Linked DNA regions of Drosophila melanogaster. The gene in region 1 interacts genetically with each later gene. Each region holds a gene or a part of one and is shown in the gene's direction. Other genes may lie near its edges.

Region 1 (4,740 bases):
ATCTAAAACGGCTTGCCAAAATCGGCGAATCACGAACGGTGACTAATGCCAACCGATTCATGAAAATGGCAAGATCAATGCTGGATCGATGAGAATTATAAATGGCGACCGAGCAGCTGCCACCTTTTTCTGCAAAGTGCGCAAAAAAGAGAAGAAACCGCATGGACAAAGGCGAAAATTCTGGAATGCTAAAAACGCAAACACACGCGCCCTCACAAGCACACACACACATGCATATACTTAAATATATGTAAACCACGCTGCTGAAGCCAGGTCATTTTGGAGGGTGATTCGTATGTGCGAGCGAGGGAGACAACCACTGTGTCCGGGACGGCTTTGCGTGTGTTGGTTTTACCCGCTCACAAACACACGTGCCCGCACTTTGAATGCCGGTTGGCAACGTGTTTTTTTTTAGCTAAGTATATTTAATAAAAGGCCGCATAATGTATAAATTTATGAATGTTAGTTCTATTTATAAACAATGTTTATATGCCTTGACTGTATGTAAGGGAATCCAACATGTTTCTATAGCAGTATAGCATTAAAATTAAATGATCAGACATGCACGCATTTTTGTGTGGTTGTGTGGGGGGGGGGGAAGCCTCACATTTTTCCCAAGCTGGAATATTCCAGCAAAAGAGCAATGGCACTCAAAATAAATTACCAATTACGATGAGTAACTTGGACATTGATTTATTGGAAACAGAAACAATAAAAATCACAAGCAATGTCAAGACCCCGCAACGGATGACGCAAGTTTTCTCTCACACATACTCACTCAACCGAAAGTAGACTGTGACTGCAGTGAGTGGGAAGCGGCACGTTTTCCAGTGGAATATTCCAGATAATCACAATCAAGCATTAGGCATCAATATGCAATTAGTCAGAACTTCCAAAGTTTCTAGAATCTTAATTTGCCTAATTAATAGGCGCTCTATGATGCACCTTTGCAATTATGTATGTAAGTGTGCATCGAAGCGTTACTCACTGGGGTCGAAAGTTCGAGAAACCTTGCCTTCTTTGAGAGTATTGATTAAATAGTAAAGGGGCTACAAAAAACACGTGGTTTGATTTCAAATTATTTTCCGGCAAACTTAATCGAGGTGGTCGCACTTTTTTTAACAACGAAATAAATACTAAAATGTAAATAAACGCTTACCTTGTGTGTTGTTTCTTAGAAAGTACTAAAATATAACCGTTTAATTGCTACTTCACTTTTAATCTGCCGCACCTTCGATCAAACTGGCTGGCGTTTTTTTCTGAATTACACCCGTACAAAATTTGCGAATGCCTTTTATATACAAGCAAAAGTGTTACCAAAGCCATCAACAATTTTAGTACTAAATTCCCAGGGGTGTAACCGCAAAATTCTTGGCCACCCTAATAAGCGCTTCACACAGAAGTCCAGAAATGTTGACGCAGAACGTTCACACCGAAACTGTAAAGTCGTAGAAATTGGCTAATATGTAGTAGAAGCGCTGAACGTAGCTTGTTACTTTAAAAACCACATTTCCTATTCCTTTCTTAATGAATATAATTCATAATATAGGAATAATTAATGAAGGAACAGTGGAATATGGAACATGGGATTTTTTTATTTATAAATCTTTCGTTATATAAGGTTATTCTAGTTCTCCATCGGCACTTATTTGACGCACACGGCTGCCCAGCCATTTAACAACAGTGCTGTTCTTATTGATCGTGGTATTTTTTGGCGCTCTGGCAGAGGTCACTCTAAGTACATTTTGAGAGATCATTTTATGTTTAGTTTAATAATTAATACAACATTACAACAGGTTATGCCGGGCAGCCAGGATGAGTGCACTTCTAAACGAAATCCAGCGGATACTCGGGGACCTTCAGTCGGGGAAGGCAGCCAGCCGAAACAAGGGCATCCAACAGCTGGATGAAAAGCTCTCAAGTTGCCGAGAGGATCTGGATAAGTTGTTTCTTAGCAAAACTTCGGATATATCCTGGACCACAATCTTTGAAGCGTCGAAGGAGGCTCTCTTTAAGGTTCCTAGCCATTATCGTTAAACAATCAGTTCCATTTTAATTGTTAACCTAATGATAGCAAGCTGGAAATCTGGAGGATGTCAACGAGAAAGTATTCAAAACGCTGGCGGGAAAAAACTACTTGTACGATAATGTCCTCGAGAAGATCACACAATTCAACTTGGAAGGTAACTCCTAAACACTTAAACACGTTATTAAAGCTAACCTGTGATTTCCAGCGGGGTCGCAGACCTCCGGAAATGGGCATTTCCTGGCCAAAACAAGCATATTTAGTGCATTCGAGGATGGCATCAAGATGCGAGTGGTAGTCAAGTATTTTGGCGACCGCATTCTGAGCCTGCTGGAAAAGGGCATTTACTCATCGGTCAGCTATGTGCGCGACCTTAAAATTAACGAATACAGTAGTAAGTTACTTTCTGGCCCAAAAGAGACTCTTTTTTTTAATTTGATGATGTATTACAGGGATTCTCTCCTATCTTTTTGAACTGAATGTCGATATGGACGAGGTCTTGCGAACCAGAATACTGAAATGCATCACAAGAACCGTCAGTTTGGCCAAGGACCGGGTTCAGCTGCACGTGGATCTAGTGGAATATCTGCCGGAGCTCAGCAGCTTTGCGCTCTCCGCTTTTGGAGCCAGAAAAACTGAGATTGTTCGCGTCTACTTAATATTTGCATCAGAGGTAGGACTCTTATTATATCTTTAGATAATGTTAAAAACTTTGCAACAATCTTTCAGCTTGCTGTCAACTACAATCACCAATTGAACGTGCACATGCAGGAGATTCTACCTAAACTATGCGAGTATCATGACGAGGATGCGTTCCGGGACGACACCAGAAATCTGTTCTTTCAGTGCGTTTCAAAGTCGCTCCATTCAATGTATCTCAAAATGGATATGTGTGACTTTAATACACTCGGTGTGCCTGTTCATGAAAAGTGGCCGCAAACTTTACTGCGGCTGAAAACTATTGTCAATGTGGAGATCCGAAAGAATTCCTGGGCTCGCTGCAAGAACGCACTACTGAGCAATAATAAATTTTCTGACCCCTTCATCAAGATGTCTGCCCTGGCTATGTATATAGTACGTCGCATAAGCTAGTAATATTTAATATATTTAATTTTAATTATATTATTATTTGCAGGTGCTTTGGCACTTGGAGACGAAAAAGGCTGATGAAAATGGGGAAGGCGATGCGCCGAAAAAGATCCCGAAGCCTGCAGATAAAATGGAAACTATATTTAGTCTGATCGACAAAAAGGAAAACACCTTTAACGACGTCTGGCTTGCGATATTCACTGAGATACTTCAGCTGAGTAGCGTGATCCTAAATGTGGCCAACTACCAAATGGCGCTAACCACCGTGGCGGAAATAATGCAAATGTACGGCAATGCGAAAAATCTCCGGAACCTTCGGTTATGCCTGGCTCATCTTTTGACTAAAGAACAGGAGCTTTTGCACTCTAAATCTATTCGGGAGGATTTTCTGGGTGAGCTTTGGAGTCAAATGGCAAACCAGCTCATATCAGAGACAACAACAAACAGTGAGGAGATCAAGGAGAAGCAATTGGTGCTGCAGATGCTGATCAGACACAATAAACTAAATCAAAAGTTGTCCAGCACGCTGCTTAACAATATTATCTCGAATGAAATGCTAAAGCGCAACGAATGCTTAGCGACGATTCGAGAGATCTTCATCCATGCTGATAAATGTGGTCAAGATAAGGCGTCCGCTGACTTAGAACCCATCATAGCTTGGGCATACGGAAGTGCGGATAGATTCATCGCCGCTCAGATGATACACAATATAGACAGTATTGATGCCCAGTTGCAGGCGGATACTTTTGCAATCAGCATTATAAATTTTTTGGATGTCCAGCAATTGCGACAGATCTCTCAATCAGAACACATTGTTCCTTCCACCGAACGCAATCTTTTGGCCTACAAGTACAACGAACAGCTTATTTGCTTTGACAAGGACTACGCCACTCCTTTTGAGTCAATCACTCACATTCAGAGCGAAACAAAGAATTGTTTGATTCAATCCAATTATGATTGCCTAATGCGAGGCCTTAACTTTGAGATCGCGAAGGAGAACAAACCGGCGGCAATAATAAAAAACCTGAATAGTCTATTAAAGTTGATCTGCACAATGGAAAGGCTTTTGCATTACAAGGTTTTCGATGCAGATACCTATACTGGCTGTCCACTTATAAAAAGAATTGGACTATATCTCAGCCACATTGAGGTGGGTGCCAAATGAATAATCTTTCAAAAACTCGTTTTCTAATACCCATTTCAGTTCCAGCTCAAGGCGAACGGAGCTGAGATTTTAGATAAGAGCGATTTACCAGAGATTTTACGTCTGGAAATCTATGTACTTGATGTATTCAGGACGAATTTAGTCTTACTCGATTATTTGGAAAGGCAACCCATTGAAATGTTGGTGGAATTTGTTGGCGCTGCTCTCAAGTTGCATTGTAATGTAGTTTTCAATTAACGTATCGCTTTAATAATTGAAGAGTGGAATATTTTAGCCATGCAGAGGGAGCGATCTGTAGATGCAGATCATGGAACAATAACGCGTCTGTGCCTTAATATTTTGGCTGGTCTTTGTGCGTACAATTCGCACCGGGATGAAGCATTCGAGCACATAGTAAAGGTAACGATGCGTTGGCATCCACAGGATGTGCTTATTGTGACCAAGGTAGGAGTTATATCGT
Region 2 (8,095 bases), 2.9 Mb from region 1:
TTAATGAAAATTTTTTACATTTTTGTCTCTCCAACGACAAAAATATTGAACATTTGCAATAAAACATAAAGTATAAGGCGAGCACTTTGCTTTTTGAAACTGCCAAAAAATTGCCCAATGAAATGCTTTAAAAAATACATAAATGTTAGTGCCTGGAAAATATATACATATATGCCACCACCTGATTCCCTGGTAGATGCCAGCAATATAATCCTATACGTGTATGGAGAGCCTACGGAACTCCAGCTTCCTGATCCCAGAGCACATTTCAATGTTCGGCATTACTAAACTCAGACTAAAACACACCCACAGGCAGCTCAACTTAGGCGTCAAGGATTCGCACAGTCCAAGGTAAAAGCGATGGCCGGCCAAAATGGCAGCGAGGGACCATCCCGAACTGAACTGCTTTGCTCTGATTTTGCAAGTGCTACGTTTTGAGTATGCTTTTTATTTGACCGCATATTGCTTTGCATTCGTTGTTAAAATTATTTTCATTTACTAAGCATAAGCCAAACCGTTGACATGGGAAAAGATAATCAGATAAGTGTCATTTATGCCCCTTTGCAGGCTAACAAACTCAAGGACAACACACCACCGTACGATGCACCGCCGCCCACGCCGATCAGCAAGGTCCTGAACATCACCGGCACCCCGATCGTTCGCAAGGAGAAGCGCCAGACCAGCGCCCGGTACAATGCCTCCAAGAACTGCGAACTGACGGCCCTCATTCCGCTAAACGAGAGTGAGTAGCCTTGGAGTAGATCCTACTACTTAGTATATTACTTTATAATACATGTACTGCCAGCTGTTCAGATCGATATCTCTTAAGCCTGCAGATCGGTTGCATGGGGTAGAACTTGGTCGTAGCCATGTCGTAGCATACATTTTAGGGCAGGGTTCCGTTTAGGCGATATAAAATTACCTTTCTTACTGTCTACCAACATCGTCAATTAAGTTTTTATGCAACTATACACTCAAAACAGATTGTATAAATCGTAGTAATTCCCATTAACGATGCATAATTACATATATTATGTCAATTAACTCCGGTAAATTTCCATGATTATAAGTTCAGCTTTAACTTACAAGAGGCATTCTCTGTAAAGTGTACCTACGACCTGCAAGCTTGTTGGGAATATTGATTGGCCGGCGCTTGATTAATTTCGCTCAGCTGTTGTAATTTGTTTATTATTTGTTAAAGTTAAAGGTCAAGGGAGTGTCGTCTGATTAGGTGGGTGGCAACACTGACGCACGGCCACTCACACATGTGAACCAAGCAGCCGCATCAATTCACACCTCTCTCCACCTCTCTCACTCACCGGAATTTCAACACATGCGCTCTCTCCGCAGCCTCTCATTACACTGGGAGAAAGCATCGTTAGAGGATTTCTCAGACCGTCTTAAATTTCATATATACACCGGCATTTCTTTATGACACAAATGTATTCGATTGATTTAAACTTGTGTATACAAATAATTAGAAAAACTGTATCCTGCAGGGAATTAATTTAAAAAAAAGCAAATTCAATATTTTTGAAAATCATATATGTACATATCTGCGCGTAATGATTATGAAATTGCTACACTTTTTTTTTCTGTGCAGCATGAATGTCATCGCATTGCGTTATTCACATACCTTTCTGCTAATTGCTTGGGCGGTTTCGACTCACAAATCGAATAAACAAATTTCGCTTGTTCAATACTATTTTATTTTATTAGGTTTTATTGTTATTGTGGCTCGCTCGCCCACCAGCCCACTTTCTCTCTCTTTATTTTCTCTCTGTCTGCTGCTCACCAAATTTCTCTCCATTTCATTCTCTCTCGATATCGATTTTTCCGATTGGCGCAGCAGTCGAAGCAACAAAAAAAAAACCGTTTCAAGACCGTGAACGTCGTGTGCCCCGAAAACTTTAATATTAGTTGAAAATATTCGTTTCCCAAGTTAATTGCTCTCCTATCCTATTCCCTCATTTGTTCCCATTCGAACCGTAAGTTTTTCCACGTAATTATGGCCATTTGTGAGGCAAAAGAAGAATTTTAGCAGAGGCGTTGTCATTTCCATTTTCATTTCCAATTGCATTTCATTTCGTTTTGTGTTACCATCAGCGCATAATCGCATTTGGCGTTAATCTAAACCATTATCTATATTGCAATTCCATTACAGATTCTATAGTTTCATACTTAGCGTGCCCAAATTGAGTTTCTAGTGTAGTCTTTCTCATGTGTTGTTGTTGGTCGGCGGGGGCGGCTGGTAAAAAAAACAAGCGTTCCGTATCAAGATTAAAACCGAGTGCCATTTGCTCCAAGTGCCGGCACTAATGAGATGGTCTTCGGTGCTATGTTGCTGACGGGCAACGGGCTCAAAGGTCCCAAACAGCAGCAACAGCAACATCAGCAGGAGCCGCAGCAGCAGCAGCAGCAATCGCAACAGCAGCAGCAAGAGCAAAAGAAACCGGCGCCCATTAAATCCTCCAGCAAGGAGCAGGAAACGCAGCCCATTGCAGCCGGGTATTATGCCCTCGGCATACGCATACCCAAATCTCCATCGTTTCACAGCGGCCTAGATCAGCTGGCCGACGACGAGTTGGACGATCAGGTGCAGGATCAGCAGCAGGAGCAGCAACAGACCGGCAGCCGATTCAGGTTTAGCAGCGTGGAGGAGCTAAAGGCCAAGTTCGAGGGGCGGAAAACGCCCCTCTCACCGCCAGAGGCAGCAGCAGGAGGAGCAGCCGGATCCGGAGCACCCACCACATCCTCCTCACCATCGTCCTCGTCCACCAGCTCCAATTCGTCGGCCTCGGCCCTGTCCTCGCTTTCACAGGCGGCCTCATCCTCGCTAGCCTCGGCGGCTGCTAACTCCTCGGCCTCATCCTCGGCCGCCACATACGGTGGTGGAGCGAATTCGGCTGCAGCTGCACTGATTGCCTCCTCGCCATTTGGATCGCAGTCCTCCACTTCTTCGCTCTCGCTATCCTCGAATGCCGGCATGTCGAAGAACGCGGCAGGAGCAGGATCTGGATCTGGATCTGGAACAACGTCAACGGGCGCTGCTAGCGGCAGCAATTCACTTGTGTCCACTTTGGCACAACATTTCTCGGCGGCCACATCCGCCGCAGCATCGGCGGCAGCCGCTGCGGCATCCTCTGCCTCGGCGGCGTCCTCCTCGTCAGCTTCCTCCTCATCCACCGCCACCAACAACGCAGCCAGCAGCTCCATCGCCGCCAGCAAGGTTTGCAGCTTGGTCTTGTCCACATACACACACACCCAGCGATCTGAAAACCCAAAACATAACCACATCACCACCTCCAAGTACAAACCACAAATTTTACACTTTCTTCCAAACTTTCACTAATTGTGTTAGCTTTTTGGATAACGATAACTAAGTTTCAAAGAAAAAAATAACAATTCAAGTACCTTGTTAATCAAAGTTTTATTTACATTGTACGCTAGAAGCTAATACATTTAGTAGCATCTCACACACTATCCACCAACACTAACTCCATCCCAATTGAACAAACCGAAATTTGATAAACCAAAACCATACTCTGCTCTCATTTCATCGCTTCCTCATCATCCAGTCACCTGTGAGCGCGGCCGCGGCCATAAAGAACATACTGAATGCCACCAAGAGTGTGGGTACTAGTGCTGCGGCGGCGGCAGCAGCGGCGGCCACCTCCTCCTCATCATCCCCATCCTCTGCGGCGGCTGTGCCGTCGTCCGCCGCCACCGCCGTCGCCGCTGTTCCCACCACCAGCGATGTGCCCGCAGAGGAGATGCGTCCGACGGTGGCCCAGAATCTGGTGGGCGGCATTAGCATCTCATTGGGAATTGGCCAGCGCAATGGCGGCGCAGCACCTGCGTCATCAGCAGTAATGGTGACACCTAACGCCACCATGGTGGTGACCACATCGAGCCTAAGCATCCGGCAGAACGGTGACATACTGCCGGGTCATCCGGCGGGTCTTCAGCCCTCGCCCCAGACGCTCCAACAGCTGACGGGCAGTCCGGGAAGGGCTCGCGACCGGAATCTATTCTACACGCCACCCACCGCTTCGGTTGCCATGGCGCTGCCTGCACTGCGAGGTTGCTATCCCGAATGGATCCGGGCCAATGGCGATGGATGGAGCCATTCCAGCCATTGCCCTTGGGCCTGAGGTCCTCCGGCTACTTGATCCTTTCTTCCGATCTTCATTATGTTCGTTTTGAGTTTCGCTTGCCTGCTTTTGGTTGGTCGTTTTTGTAGTTGTAGGTTTTTTTTTTTTAATTTTATATTAAGGTCAATTTTATATGGCTTACATTTTGTTTGATATATCTATCACTTATATTATATATTTAAAAAAATTAATGATGATTTCATTTGTATTTCCATAGAGACCGCCGCCAGTGAACGTGAGGAGCTGTTCATACAGAAGATCCAGCAATGCTGCACACTGTTCGACTTCTCCGAGCCGCTCAGCGACCTCAAGTTCAAGGAGGTGAAGCGGGCGGCTCTGCACGAAATGGTCGATTTCCTCACCAACCAAAATGGCGTAATAACCGAAGTTATTTACCCGGAGGCGATCAATATGGTAAGCTACTAATTTACATATTTAAAATAATATCACATGCTTTTACCACAACATACTTATCTGTTCTCATCAGTTTGCTGTCAACCTTTTCCGAACTCTGCCGCCATCGTCCAACCCGAATGGTGCCGAATTCGATCCGGAGGAGGATGAGCCCACGTTGGAGTCCTCGTGGCCGCATCTGCAACTCGTTTACGAGCTGTTCTTGCGCTTCTTGGAGTCACCAGATTTTCAACCAAGCATGGCAAAACGTTTTATCGACCATCAATTTGTATTACAACTATTGGATTTATTCGATTCGGAGGATCCACGTGAACGTGATTTCCTGAAGACTGTTTTACATCGCATCTATGGAAAATTTTTGGGCTTGAGAGCATTTATTAGAAAGCAGATCAACAATGTCTTTTACAGGTGAGCTCGTCATTGGAATATCTATAAGGTTAATGCCTCACATTACTAATCGCATTCCACATTTAGATTTATTTATGAAACGGAGCATCATAATGGCATAGCCGAATTGTTGGAAATCCTGGGTAGCATTATCAATGGCTTTGCTCTGCCGCTTAAGGAGGAGCATAAACAATTTTTACTTAAGGTATTGCTGCCATTGCACAAAGCCAAGAGCCTCTCGGTCTACCATCCGCAGCTCACCTATTGTGTGGTGCAGTTCCTGGAGAAGGATCCTAGCTTATCGGAGGCGGTCATCAAGTGAGTAAAGAATTCCTTATTTTGCGCATTTTCTAATTAGCCTATCGCTGCCATATTTCAATATTCTTGCAGAAGCCTACTTAAATTTTGGCCCAAGACGCACAGTCCCAAGGAGGTTATGTTTTTGAACGAGCTGGAGGAGCTGTTGGACGTAATTGAGCCGGCCGAGTTCCAGAAGGTGATGGTGCCGCTGTTCCGCCAAATAGCCAAGTGCGTCTCTTCGCCTCATTTCCAGGTGGCCGAACGTGCGTTGTACTATTGGAACAACGAGTACATTATGTCGCTGATAACGGATAACTCGGCGGTGATATTACCCATTATGTTCCCAGCGCTCAATCGCAACTCAAAGACGCACTGGAACAAGACCATCCATGGTCTGATCTACAATGCACTCAAGCTGTTCATGGAGATAGATCAGCGGCTTTTTGACGAGTGCAGCAAGAACTACAAGCAAGAGAAGCAGATGTATGTGTTAACTTTAGTTGATAATTAACTTCCATGGGACGATGCACTCACGTTTTATTACTTTGTACTAAACATTGGCGTTTTTTTTTTTTTTTTGCATTGCAGGGAGCGTGAGAAGCTGTCGCAAAGGGAGGAGCTCTGGCAACAGGTGGAGAGCTTGGCCAAGACCAACCCGGAGTGGACAAAGGCGCGCCGGTTTAACGACTGCCTGCCGGTCAGCGACAGCCGGGCCCTGTGCGATCAATATAGTGAGAACAGCGATTCAGCGTATGATCAGAGCGAGCAGAGGGCGCGCCAGCCGCCGCCTCCGCTGCCGCCACAGAAACAGGCGCACCAGGAGCCCCGAGAGGTGAGACAGGCACTTGCCACATTAACAACACTAAACAACTACTAATCCGCCACGTGTGATCCTGGCGTCGCTGTGAGCTGTGCCCAGCTAAGGCCCACTCTGTTTCAACTCTAATTCTAATCGAACGAATGTCTGTTAAAATAATCACACTCATGTCATTTAAAAAAAAAAAAATACATATTTGTATATCTTTAACTTTGTCTATTTATTTATTAATTATTTGGTAACCTCACTGTCTGCCAAACCAAACGCATCCATGCAAATTCATCCACGACACAACAACTTTTCTCCTGCACTTTTGGTTAACCGCATACGAATTGGGCGGAATTAATATGTAGTTTATCTTACTTAGATGTTAATTACACTTTGGTCCATCTTTTAACTCATTTGTGGTCATTTTAATGAGAGAACGCGTTCCTTTTGTAACATCAATATGATTCTCATTTATTAATTTGAACACTTAACATAATTTTCCTCAAGTGAATCACCATTTTTAAGCATGAATCCCAGTTAGAGTAAAATCTGTGCACATAACTATTAAAAACTAGTGTCAAATGTATCATGTTGTTAACAACTCAGAACCAGAAACCATACAACACTCCTCGATCTCAGACCTTTGTAACACAATTCGACATTCGGGTGTAGATGTATATATATATCGTAGTCGTGTGTTGTCCAACTGGTGGTCATCGAGTTTCCATCCAGCACCACAGCACTCGATATCGTAACGCAATCATCCCGCACCACCGTGTAACTTCACCCGCCCAGTGTGTGTGTGTGTGTGTGCTGCGATGCCTTAGTGTCAGAAGCGGGTCCATTTTCTATTGCCAAACCCCCCTTCCCGTTCCACACAGATTCGTGGCGAACGGAACAAGGACAAGCCGCTGCTGCGCCGGAAATCGGACCTGCCATCGGACAGTGGAACCGTGAAGGCGCTAAACGAGCACAAGCGGACGGATGAGTACCTCACAACGCCGCCGCCGGATGGAAACTACTAGGAGAGAGCTGGCCAGCCGACGCCACCAATATTCGTAGCTCCAATGAGGAGGATAGTCAAACCACAGAACTTACCCAAATAGACCTACACACTCCAGACTAAGGCCAGAAAGCATACATATATAGAAGCACAAGTCCAAGTCCAGAGATGAAGGATAGAATCCGCACAACTAGAGAACAAACAATTTTGAACGATGCATTTGCATTTGGGGGCTTAGAGTGGGGGCGTGGCAACGGATGCAAGCCAATTGCTATATATATATACACATACAAAATACCTATCTTTAGTGATCATGCATAGTACCAATAAAGATCAAGAATCCCCAACGAGATCGATTGTCTAGCTCCAATTTCGTTTGCATATGCATTTCAAGATTACCCTTTTGCTCCAACGCATGCCACAGTGAAGCTTAGCCCTGAATGACCTTCTTATATATATTCTTATTTCTTATATCTTTTACCCAATGCATGTTGCTGCTAGCGTTGCTTTAGCTATAGCCCTATCAATTAGATCTAATTGTGCAATAATCTGGTATCACAACTATGCTCTTACCATTTCAGTAAACGCGTGAATATAATTGTACAGTTGAATTTGAATTGTCTAACTTAAGGCGTAGGCGTTTACCACCTTGATTGAGTACATATATATCCCCCGATTTCTGCCACATGCATACATAGATAGCTATATGACATCCAGACATTCATGCCACATGCCACTATTATACACACATACTATATAAAACATGTTTACTACTCCACGACTCAAATTTGCAAATATTGTACGCTATTTAGCCTAGCAGTTAGAGCAGCATACCCATAATATATTTATATGAAACAAATCGCCCAGCAGGACACATAAATTGTGGTATGTATGTGCGTGAGTGTATTTTTGTATGTACTACCTATTAAATATAGAAATATATATATATATATATGTGCGGAGAACCGTGTTCCTGAACACCGATCAAAAGGAATTAGGCATTTTTGTTTGTCCTGGACTGGCCGTGGATGA
Region 3 (5,643 bases), on another chromosome or scaffold:
GCTTGGTCCTCGAACTATGGAGATGCCTCTACAGTGGTTGCCCCGCGTGTCCAGCCGGCGATGATGTTTCAACAGAAACCCATGAGACCATTAGAGTCCCAATGGTATCGCCATGGACAAAGTAACCTGGCCCAAGGCAATACTTTCACTAGATCCACGCAAAATCTTTTGATGCCATCGCGTTTGCCGTCCATAAACAGGAACGTCGGCGGAGCTGATGTAAGCGCCTGGGTGGCGGCCAATCAAAGTGTGAACCAAGATCTATGCACTGCCAATCTAATGAGACATTACGAAGAGAAACAGCAGAATCAACTTTCCCGCACTTCGTCACAATCTTCTGGATTTGAGTCGCAGCCACGTCCAGAAGCCCAATGCGGAACAGGTGCTGCAACTGTAAGGGACTACGGCTGGTCCGAAGCCCGTGAGAGTCAGCGAAATTTCGCAGTTTTTCCGCCAATGCCGTCACCTACACCCACAATAACGCCTAGTGAATATCAATACTCGAGGACTGCTCTTCCGCAGCAACAGCCAACTATGCAGCCGGGGGATTTACTTAGGAAGTGGATTGAGATTAACTCAAAATCCTCACAGCCAATACACTAATGTGATGTGAGGTCATAAATATCTAGAAAAACTTAGAAAAAATTCTGGAAAAGATCACCGCCAGTTGGGAAATTATATAAATTTGACTTAACTTAATTATCAAATAATTTATTTTTGACTTACAGTTTTTAAGCTTCTTTATTCTACTAAAGGTTAGTCCTCCCTTTACTTATAATCGACTAAATAAGTAGTGTTTAGCTAGACATTCTTTAATCTGTGTAGCTCTAAGTTTCGTGGTTTTCAATATAGAACTTTTCAGGGAATTGAAAGTCAGGGAGTAAGATTAGAAGGTAATATAAATACTACTTGATTTTAAAGGGAGAATAAAGCTTTGGTAACTAAGTTATTTATTCATTGAAGACAATCATTCAAAGTTTGTTTTTATCGTTAACTAAACTTTTGTGACTCACATAAACTAGATAAATTGTTTATTATACAAATACATATTTTTTGAAATAAAAGCAAAACAAAAAAATGGTTATTATTTTGTTAAGTTAAGTGCAGTTATAAGAAAATATTCATTATCAAGTTAAATTCAATAATAACAGTGACCTGTCTTTTTGGTTGTTTTTCTCTTTTAAAAAATGTTATATTGTTCTCTTAGATTTCAGAACACGCTCTCTTAGTGCAGTGCTGCCAGTTGGTTAACGGCGCGGTGTAGAAATCAAAGTGGCCGTTTCCAAAGTCGGCACGGCACTTCAAAAATTCATACATTTGCCCCTGAAAGTATGTTGTTTATGTTGTTGTTAATATTGAACAAATATATTATGAATTTAAATTATCTTAATAAACAATTATGTATATAAGGTTGTGTAGCCTCTAACCATTCTCGAATGTAAAATTTAGCTGGTTATTTCAAATTACACATTAATCAATCAGTCTGTGGGCGCGGTTTTTAGATGACAGCTTGCTGTATATTTAGTATATAAGTAGTAACAGGAGAAAAAGTTTAGTATTTTTGAATACCGTCCAGCTGGCAACACTGCTACAATATGGCTGCCGTATCGTAATGTGAATTTTTTTGAGAGACCGAGACGTACATACTTTTGTTGCTGCCAAAGTGGATGTGGACGGAGGAAAATAGTAATATTTAACTGCGTTGCGGGAGCGGGACAATCGTCGTTTGCCAATTGCGGCCACCGCTTATGTCGGCTAATCGGCTATCAATAATATTAGTAATCGTATCAATATCAAGTTACCCATTACCCATCGCGGATACACATTAGTTTTGCGAAGGGCAGAGCAGCGCAGAGCATATAGCGAATATTTCCATTTGTTGCCAACAAGACTGTCGTTGTTGTTGTTATTATTGTGGCTTTTCAGTGACTGGGGAGAGCAGTGGGGGTGCGTTCGTAATCCTTGTGAAAAATCGGTGACCGTTCTTCTTAAAAAAAAAGCGAAAGAAAAAACCATCGCGATAAGAAAATATAAGAAAGAAAAATCTGATTGAAAACCAAAGAGCTGCTGCTACTGCTGCTGTGCGAGTGAGAGCGGTCGAGAGGTAGCTAGTGAGCGAGTGAGAAAGCTATGTATTGCATTTGCATTTCGTTGTGTGTGTCGTCGTTTTCGTTCGGTAAAAGTCGGTAAAAAGCAGAGCCTTTCCAAACCTAACCACTTTCGGGTAAACGGAATCGGAAAAGGAACTGGGAAAATCGAAAGAAATTAAATAATAATATGCGTTACATCGATGGCAACAACAACAACAACAGCAGCGACCATCAGCTAGCGACTCCTCTCTGAGCGAGAGAGCTAATAGCTTTTCAGCTTTAGCTTTTCTTGGGCCAATCGGAAATTGTATTTCATTGGTAAGTACAAGAAGTGGCAGCACCATAACCAGCAAATCAATACTTGGGCTGCCATTCCGTTTCGTTCCGTTCGTCAGTTTTCCTAGCCCATTCGTTGGCGCTCTCTCTTTTCCGTCAGTCTCTCTCTTTCTCTTCCCCAAAAGAGAGCGAAAACCCCCCGCCCGCCCACACTCGGTGTATGTGTGCTTTGTAATAACGAGTACACTTTTCTGCACATACGAAAAAGAAGGAAAAAAGAATAATAAAATAAGAAGAAAAAATGAAAGACCGAATAAAGAAATTCACATAAACTTATGGCACTCTCCCTCGCGCTCTCTTCATTTGCAACTAGTGTGCGTGCTTAAATTTTTAAAAAACAGTTGTTTTCACCGAAAGGGAATTTTCATTTCGATGGTATATTTTTAGCCAGCAAGCTCCTTTCGGAAATTATTTATAACCCCCCTCGAAATGTTTCCACGCAACGATTTACGCGATAAACTTTTACAAAATCAGATATAAGTAAGTGCAAAGACCACTTGATTTTCGTATAGTATGTAAGTCCACGAATTGCTTACGTATTTATGAAATATTACTGTGCGTAGGTCGGTGGGCGTGTTTCAACGTTTTAGCCCACAGTTTTCACTCATTTTCCTGCGGGGTTTCCGCTTGTGACAAAGGCATTCAAAGAACCAACAAGAAAATCCCGGGGGCGTGGCACCACCCATGCAATTAAATTAGACCAAAAAAGTGCTTACACTTTGTATTCTAGAGAATGTTTCAAATCATTGAACATAAACAGAAGAATTCATGCGAATTTAGAACTAATGGAAATTGGGAGCAAGGATACATAAAGTTGGAGGAATTCAAAAATGTAATTGTTTAAAATTTAAGCGTTAGTAACCAAGTTCTTGTTAAAATATATGCCGCTTAATTAAGTTTAAATCTGTTATTCACAAGTAAAATTATATTTATTATTAATTTCTCTTAATTTGGATATTAAAAAACCTCATTTTGTAGATTGCAAGAGTACGAAATCAAGAAGACGTACATATTTGTTGTTAAGAATCCGTTCCTAATATAAGTAAATTGCTAGAACAATGGATGAATTTTCGGAGAATATAGAAAGAATTGCCCTCGAGTTGCTGAGCAACTTGGTTCATGGCAATGCCACTCTTAGTGTTCCCCGAAATTCATCCGGAAACGTGATCTCGGAATATCGACGAGTCAGCTATAATAATCGCGGAAGTCGCCATAGCTTTTGCGTGCTGATTTACATGCTCTCCCGGGTGCACCGATTGCAAGTCCGCGGAGGAAGTTTCACCGTCCGTGGACTATACTATGACAATCCTCTGCTAGTCCGGTCGCAGTCCAGGATTGCCGAAGCCAGGCTAGATGTCTGTCGTATGCTGAGGACATCCCCCCTAAGCTTGGGCATACTGGCCGCCTCCAAGGGCCTGGTGGCAGGTGAGTTTATCTCGAAATCCTGATCAAAGGCTCCCTGCTCATCCGGTTACTCTTGCAGGCGACTTAAGGCTGCTGATGACCAACGGAGACGTTCTGGACAGCAGCTTGTATGGTGGACCTCTGACATTGCCCACGGATCCCGAGAAGATAGATCGAATCGAAACGCTGGCGGAATTTGTGCTAATCGTTGAAAAGGAGTCGGTTTTTGAGAGTCTCTTATCCAGAAATGTATTTGGTACTTTTGAACGACGCTTCATCCTTATAACTGGAAAAGGATACCCCGATTGCTGTACCCGGAGGATTGTCCATCGGCTCACCGAGGAGAACCAACTGGCGGCCTACATTCTCGTTGACGCCGATCCATTTGGCGTCGAGATAATGCTAGTCTATCGCCATGGCTCGAAGTCCATGAGTTTTTCCAGCCAAGGACTAACCACACCTGCGCTGCGTTGGATTGGTCTACACCCCTCGGAGATTCCCGCACTCGGCACTGGAGCGGTTGCCCTGGTTGCCGGCGACAACAAGAAAATCAATGACCTCCTCGCCCGCCACGATTTGGAGCCGGGAGTGCGGCAGGAACTGCGCATGCTGCAGGACGTTCAGCTGAAGGCCGAAATCGAGAGTGTCATCGACTTCCTGACCGACGACTATATACCAAATAAAATCAATCGGAACTTGTTTTTGTAGAGTTCAGTGGTAAACCCCATAAGCCAAATATTATTACTCTTGAAATATTATTAGTTAGTTTAAAATATGTTGTAGGTATAGTAATATAGTAATTAGTTTGTAAAAAACGTATCTCTATAAAGATACCATAAGACTCCTAAAAATAGTACTGTAAAAGTTAGTTCGCGTAATCAGCTTTCCATTAATATTTGAATTAATTAAGATAGTAATTTAATAATTAAATTCCCCATTCATTGGGATTCCGATTTTGTTGCTTATGTTATAAAATGTAATGTTTAATTTCAATGCAGCTTTAATAACGTCAATATAATATTACGACTAATTAATATTAAAGTACCTTAAGATCCTTGCCTTTAGAAAACATAATTTTAATATTTGGATAACGGATAATAGTAATTTACACTCGTAATGTCTGAGTAATCTGCTTCTAGTGTTTCGTATTGAGTGGTCAACTTGATTTTCTGCATTACTTTGTGTGGACGAAGCCAGTAAACTCAAGCAGACAAAGGAGATTATTTTTTTTATTGTGCCTCTAAAGTGTTATGGCTTGAGGTCGGTAATCGGAGCCGGTAATTGGCTACGTTTTTGATAATGGCAAGTGAATGGCCAGTCATATTATAGGTGCCGAAAGATACAAGTAGTCTGCTTTGTTTAGATCCATACTAATTGCGTGCATTTATTTCTTGCAGATGTGAAGGAGTACCACGGATGATAGAAACCCATTGGGCATTTGACTACTTTTAAGCACCGAAACCTGAAAGACTCCCGAAAATACTCGAATCTCACGTGCAGAATCTCTAAGAATCCCTATTGGACTGTTTAAAAATATGTCGACAGCAATGCGCACCACACTGCAGTCAGTTCCTGAGGCCCTGCCAGCGGATAGCGTGTCCAATGGCACAGCATCCAATGTAGCAGCACCGGCGGCGCCAGTATCGAGCGCAACAAACGCGGTGCCACCACTGGCCGCCGTCTCCAGCACAACCGCCACCTACGCCACCAACTCGATCAGCACATCCTCGCATTCGGTCAAGGATCAGCAGCAGCAACAGCAGCAGCAGCAGCATGATTCGGCCAATGCAAACATTGTGTCACTGCCACCAAC
Region 4 (6,097 bases), about 14 Mb from region 1:
CTCACCTAGACATCTGATCGCTGGCCCCTCTTTGCGCTTCCTTCTAATTGCATTGCATTGTCTACCACACACAAACACACGCGCGCGAAAACTGGGACCGCCCAGCCTTTAACCCATGCCTGCCCACCGCACCACCCTTAACCCTTTTGGCAGTGATTTGCGAAAAGCGCGCGCGCACAAAAGTATCTCAAACGCTTTTTTCGCACACTTTGCAGGCATTTTAATGCACAGACGACCGAGAAAAAAATAAAATAAGAGCCGATGCTCAAAGCTCACTTCTTGGAATTTCGATTTACAATTTAGCTCTTCACTTTTTGCTGGTCCTGTGATTTTTTTTGTTCGTTATGCTGTTTTTGAGGTCCCCCGCTATTGTTGTGCCCCATTCCCATTTCCATTCACATTGTTGCTGCAATTTCTTTCTCCGCAGCCTATTCTCATTCTTTATCAAATTTACCCACTCACACACGCACACACACGTGTGTGAGTGTGCTTTTGCATACGCTTTTGATTCCGCTTCCTCCGCTTTGCCCTTTTTCTGGAGCCCGGCGATATCACGGTGGTATTATCTGAAATCCATAATTGCGAGGCTATAATTGGAATGAATAAAAGCATAAAAACTGGATAAGAATTTGGTAAGTAAAAATGAAAATAGCAGAACAACTCGAGCTAGAAACTACTTTTAAATAGTAGTAGTAAGTTCACAGATTTACCTCTAGTATATGTATTTTGCCACACTGTGCGCTCGGATCGCTATGAATGAGATTGGTTCTGAGCTTTTTCCTTCCCTATGCGCTTTTTTAACTTGTTCAAAACCACTTTATGATTTCTGCGTCCTTCTCGTCGTTTTGTGCTGGTTGTTTTCCATAAAGATGATCCTCTCGGCTCTTCCTGCAGCAACAACAAAAGCTGGCCAAAGGAATTCAGCGGAATGAAACCGTAGCTCATTTGGTTGGTGGCTTCGGCTGTGGTTGGTCCCGAAATCATTTACTTTCGCCTGCTCTTCAAGCGGTGTGAATGATATGGCCTGGTTGCACTGGCCTGTCCTTCATTTGTTTGCCGCGAACCTTACAAAAACACACTCGAACTGCACAGCACAGCCCATGGGTGTTCGCAAACCCCCAACCCTCCTTAGTGAACCCCTCGGATCCTCCAGAATGACTCCCGCAGGGCATCGGCGCATATGTAACTCGATTTTTGCTTTAACTTTGCCGCGATTGCACACAAACGAGGGGCTACAGTGGAGCTTCGGCGTGGGCAACTAGTCTGAGCTTCACATTATCGATTATTGGTCATATCGCATGGTTGACATCATGATTTTCCACGTGTTTGCTACTGTTAGTAGTAGTTTATCTAGCTTAAGATCTGTGTTTGTACGGATTCTCATTAAAGACACACGGTCCATCGTGTAGAGTGCTACCTGTGAATGGATCTCTGTGGCTGGAAGCTTTGCTCATTTAACGACATTGGCGTCTACGTCTGCAGAACACAAAGGAGCCACGCCCCCTCCACGACCGCCCATCCCGCCGGTGCGGCGATCATATGACTGCGGCCACTACCTGCTGATATGTAGTTTTCAGGGAGGGGTTACAAGGGGGGACAGGGGGCAGCAGGAATGCGTGGATCTCACATTATTACCTGCAAACGACACAATCGATGCCGCCTTGAAATTCTGCTTAAAGATTCGCGCAGTTCTTCAGCGTTTCCTCTTCGCTTCTTGGGGCTCCACACTATTTTCACATGTGTTCGGTTCGGAGCCTCCTCGGCTCCACTTCGGCTCCAATTGTGGCGACTTCGGATCCCCTTCGGCGGTACGCGTCGCGGTATAAAAGCTCGCGCGCCAAAATCAGTGGCCTCCATAGAGCTGGCGACCACCAAGGCGCCAGATTCTCCTCGTTTCTCGGGACATTGGTATTCGGTGCGGGATTTTGCGATAGGGGAAGTGCAGGGGAAAGGATTCTACCTGTTGCCGGCACTCTTGTGCTCCACATGAGCAGAGATTTCCAAAACTGAGTCCATATGATCCTGATTCTCCCATTTTCCCAGTTTTCCTTTTCGCATCGCACATGGCTCTGGCCCCGTCCCCGTTATGTGTGTTGGTGTCGCTCGTTGCCCGTCTCCCTTCCTCTTCTATTGGCACTTCTGGGAAGGATAGGAAGGAAAGGATAGGATGGGAAGGCAAAGGAAAGGAGCTGAGAACTAAGAGCTAAAGAGCGAAGCAGAGAGAACAAAAAACGCGCGCCATCTCGCTCGCGCCCATTAGCTCATCAGCTGATCGTGATCGGCCGGGGTGCGGTTATAAAAACCAGCTGCTCGGCATATTCAGCACATTCGTTCTCAGTTCGTCGTCGAGTCAACAGCTCTTCTTGTTCAGCCTTTCGGTTCCTCGTTCGGTGAATTGAGATTGTGCGGTTCAAATTATTGAAGAAAAAGAAAAACCTCGCACAACCACACTCCGAAATACAAAACAAAAAATCATGCTCAAACGGACACATTAACAAAAAAAAAAAACAAAAAAACCTAAATTAACTAAAATGCAATACTAGCCAAAAACCAAGGACTACCATCTCAAATTCTAAAAACAAACTGTAAATGAGTGCAGAGTGACCAAGAACAAATTGTGTTTTAGCAATTTCTTCGGCTTCAGACTCGCCAGCGAAATCAAACATCTTCGGCTCTTCGAAGCAACCAACGCAACACATAACACAACAAAACCAACAAAATGCTGTGGGAAACTATTGTGGAGGAAAACAACTGCAGCATGGATTGCAATATCAGGTAATTATGCCGCCCAAGGATTAGCAACAGCAAACCCCTTTTGCACCAGGAATACCAGTTGAAAATACGCGATAAAAAGTGCAAGTTCAAGAGCAACAGCAACAACAGCAAAGCAAAAAAAAAATACAAAAAACAGAAATGTAAACGATGGGGCCAACAAAAGTAAGAGTTCTTTTTATCACGCTCGGCACGTTTGCTTTTTGCCCGATTTTTATTTTGGCGCTCAGCTGTTGTTTTGTTGCTCGCTTGCCGTTTTTCATTCATTAAACCGGCTTCCGCGAGGCTCCAAAAAAAAGCAGCAGCAAAAAATGCTTTTTGTCCGTCGTCCGTCAGTCAGTCATTTTTTTTTTTTCGATTTTTGTTCCTTTTTTCCTCCGTGTTCTTTGCGGTTCTTTGTGGCGTGTTTTTGTTGTATTATCGCTGCGCTTGCGTGACGTGTGACCCAAAAGCAAAAGTCAAGCTGAAAAGCAGATGCATGCGAAAAGCAAAAGGGAATTCCATTTGGAGAACCGCTAATGCTTAAGTAGAATCAAGAAGAAGAAGATAAGGCGGTACGCAACGGTTCCCTCGCAATTTTAGGGAATTGTAAAAATTATCAAAAAAAAAAAAAATGGTATCAATGATATCGTGTGCGCAAGTCGAATCCCAAAAATTCCAGTTTTCGAAGCTGCATTAAAGTAAATTTCTAGTTCAGCTCCCTCTTCACCCAATTACAACAACCCCTCTCTGTATTTTCTCGGGTATTTTTGTTGTTTTTACACCACCAACGCCACCACCACCACCAGTTTGTCAGTATTTTTAGCTGGGTTTAATGACCCGCTCTTGCGAGAGTTTAGGGAAGCAAAAGCAGCTCTCTTCCTCGATGCCGAACAGTTGACTAATCCTCCCCCTCTCTTTGTTTGCTCTTGCAGTAATAACACCAGCAGTTCGAGTAGCATCAACAAAATGAGTGGATCTCGTCGTGCTCGCCGTTCCCTGGAACTGATGAGCATGGACCAGGAGGAGCTGTCGTTCTACGACGACGACGTTGTGCCCCAGGATCAGCAGCGATCGGCCAGTCCGGAGCTGATGGGTCTGCTCTCGCCGGAGGGCTCGCCCCAGCGCTTCCAGATCGTCCGCCAGCCGAAAATTCTGCCAGCTATGGGAGTATCAAGTGATCACACGCCGGCGCGCAGCTTCCGCATCTTCAACAGCCTGTCCTCCACATGCTCCATGGAGTCCTCCATGGACGATGAGTACATGGAGCTCTTCGAGATGGAGTCGCAGAGCCAACAGACCGCCCTGGGCTTCCCCAGTGGCCTAAACTCGCTGATCAGCGGCCAGATCAAGGAGCAGCCTGCTGCCAAATCGCCAGCGGGTCTGTCCATGCGCCGCCCTTCGGTCAGAAGGTGCCTCAGCATGACGGAGAGCAACACCAACAGCACCACCACCCCACCACCAAAGACCCCAGAGACTGCCCGGGATTGCTTCAAGCGCCCGGAACCGCCAGCATCGGCCAACTGCTCGCCCATCCAGAGCAAACGCCATCGCTGCGCCGCCGTTGAGAAGGAGAACTGCCCCGCACCCAGCCCACTCAGCCAGGTCACGATTAGCCACCCCCCTCCACTGAGGAAGTGCATGTCCCTGAACGACGCCGAGATCATGTCCGCCCTGGCCCGCTCCGAGAACCGCAACGAGCCCGAGCTAATCGGCGACTTCAGCAAAGCCTATGCCCTGCCCCTGATGGAGGGTCGTCATCGGGATCTGAAGAGCATCTCCAGCGAAACAGTGGCTCGCCTGCTTAAGGGCGAGTTCAGCGATAAGGTGGCCAGCTACCGCATCATCGACTGCCGCTACCCCTACGAATTCGAGGGCGGCCACATCGAGGGAGCCAAGAACCTGTACACCACCGAGCAGATCCTCGATGAGTTCCTCACCGTCCAACAGACTGAGCTGCAGCAGCAGCAGAACGCCGAATCGGGACACAAGCGCAACATCATTATCTTCCACTGCGAATTCTCCTCGGAGCGTGGACCGAAAATGTCCCGCTTCCTGCGTAATCTGGATCGCGAGAGGAATACCAACGCCTATCCGGCGTTGCACTATCCCGAGATCTATCTGCTGCACAACGGCTACAAGGAGTTCTTCGAGTCGCACGTTGAGCTGTGCGAACCACATGCCTACCGCACCATGCTGGATCCCGCCTACAACGAGGCCTATCGCCACTTTCGCGCCAAGTCCAAGTCCTGGAACGGCGATGGCCTGGGCGGTGCCACCGGGCGGCTAAAGAAGTCGCGCTCGCGACTGATGCTGTAGGTTGTGGGATGATCGTGCAGTTCGTTATCTAAGTTTGGGTGTTATCGTATTGTATATATAGACGTATAGGGGTATTTATTTCATGCTGCTTTTAAGTTGATTTTTGTTGATTTTCATTTGTTAATCCGTAGACTAAGTTTCTCGCACACGACGCAGACACACACCCGACACTCGCATTCATGCAAAACAGACAATTTCATTTGGAATTTAACGCTTTTGTTTAGTTATTATTGTTTTTATGGTTTCGGCTTTAGTTCAATTATTTAAGCACTCTAGTTCAAATTTTAAAGATAACCAACGAACAAGCAAACGAAAAATGTGCATTATAATCTAAAAACGTGAGGAACCATGTCATTTAAATTTAAGAGGCCGATCCCGAAATCAGACCCCTTAATCATTTGTAGATGATAAGCAGAACAAAAAATGGCTAAAAACAAAAAAAAAAAAAGAAAACAAATATCACACAAAAACAAACACGCTCATTAATTTCATCCATAAAACTTTATTTATAAGATCTATCGTTTAAGAGTTGAAAGTTGTAAACTTCTGCTAGGTACAATTTACGCTTATTATTTGTTTATTTTTATGTAATCCGTAACCGAACAACAAGGCACCGAAACGCAAATGCAAACAAGAAAACAAATATTTTACCATGTAATGATTATTATTTAAGCAAAGCTTATTTTTGCATCAAAAAAGGCAATATTATTGAACAAAGACCATCAATTTTAAATATACATTAATACACGACGAAAAAGAACTGAAATTCCTGGAATTTTTATCATTCAAATGGCGCCAAATGCGCATTATGTGCGGGATTTCGGTACTCTATGGGTTTTCACAGAATTAACAACTTGAAATTGGCGCGCAAAGCGAGTAGTTGCACTTTGTAAATGTCAGAGGGCGCTGTGTCCGTAAAAAATTGAGTATAACAGCGGCGACTTTTTGGCAGACTGTTATACGAAAATTTGTATGTCACTTTATATTTCTTTAAATTAGAGATGGACACGTGATGCTTTTTTTTTTA

Evidence for each region.
Region 2: of tefu (region 1) and wrd, changing one enhances a phenotype caused by changing the other (phenotypic enhancement), as found in Drosophila melanogaster (one study listed by BioGRID).
Region 3: of tefu (region 1) and mei-W68, changing one suppresses a phenotype caused by changing the other (phenotypic suppression), as found in Drosophila melanogaster (one study listed by BioGRID).
Region 4: of tefu (region 1) and stg, changing one suppresses a phenotype caused by changing the other (phenotypic suppression), as found in Drosophila melanogaster (one study listed by BioGRID).

Annotation. Positions count from the first base shown.
Region 1 is NT_033777.3:15,239,219-15,243,958, reverse strand, and holds the start of tefu (telomere fusion), read left to right. Parts: upstream 1-1,722; 5' UTR 1,723-1,738; intron 1,739-1,796; 5' UTR 1,797-1,815; coding exon 1,816-2,016; intron 2,017-2,074; coding exon 2,075-2,183; intron 2,184-2,234; coding exon 2,235-2,420; intron 2,421-2,478; coding exon 2,479-2,699; intron 2,700-2,755; coding exon 2,756-3,100; intron 3,101-3,161; coding exon 3,162-4,265; intron 4,266-4,319; coding exon 4,320-4,497; intron 4,498-4,554; coding exon 4,555-4,724; intron 4,725-4,740. UniProt on the Drosophila melanogaster protein: Serine/threonine-protein kinase which recognizes the substrate consensus sequence [ST]-Q. Required to suppress spontaneous apoptosis of proliferating cells during development, and for their proper differentiation. Required for female fertility.
Region 2 is NT_033777.3:18,170,962-18,179,056, forward strand, and holds wrd (well-rounded), read left to right. Parts: upstream 1-1,882; 5' UTR 1,883-1,988; intron 1,989-2,164; 5' UTR 2,165-2,323; coding exon 2,324-3,229; intron 3,230-3,578; coding exon 3,579-4,083; intron 4,084-4,371; coding exon 4,372-4,568; intron 4,569-4,641; coding exon 4,642-4,976; intron 4,977-5,042; coding exon 5,043-5,273; intron 5,274-5,345; coding exon 5,346-5,738; intron 5,739-5,843; coding exon 5,844-6,087; coding exon of another isoform or gene 6,088-6,132; exon of another isoform or gene 6,133-6,280; intron 6,281-6,941; coding exon 6,942-7,085; 3' UTR 7,086-7,414; downstream 7,415-8,095.
Region 3 is NT_033778.4:19,454,568-19,460,210, forward strand, and holds mei-W68 (meiotic W68), read left to right. Parts: upstream 1-1,602; 5' UTR 1,603-2,408; intron 2,409-3,404; 5' UTR 3,405-3,484; coding exon 3,485-3,851; intron 3,852-3,909; coding exon 3,910-4,538; 3' UTR 4,539-4,956; downstream 4,957-5,643. Other genes in the region: CG7744 (uncharacterized protein), read left to right, coding at 1-603. UniProt on the Drosophila melanogaster protein: Required for meiotic recombination. Together with mei-P22, mediates DNA cleavage that forms the double-strand breaks (DSB) that initiate meiotic recombination.
Region 4 is NT_033777.3:29,251,551-29,257,647, reverse strand, and holds stg (string), read left to right. Parts: upstream 1-1,847; 5' UTR 1,848-2,719; coding exon 2,720-2,775; intron 2,776-3,686; coding exon 3,687-5,070; 3' UTR 5,071-5,505; downstream 5,506-6,097. Other genes in the region: CG45544 (uncharacterized protein), read right to left, coding at 751-984. UniProt on the Drosophila melanogaster protein: This protein functions as a dosage-dependent inducer in mitotic control. It is a tyrosine protein phosphatase required for progression of the cell cycle. It may directly dephosphorylate Cdk1 and activate the Cdk1 activity.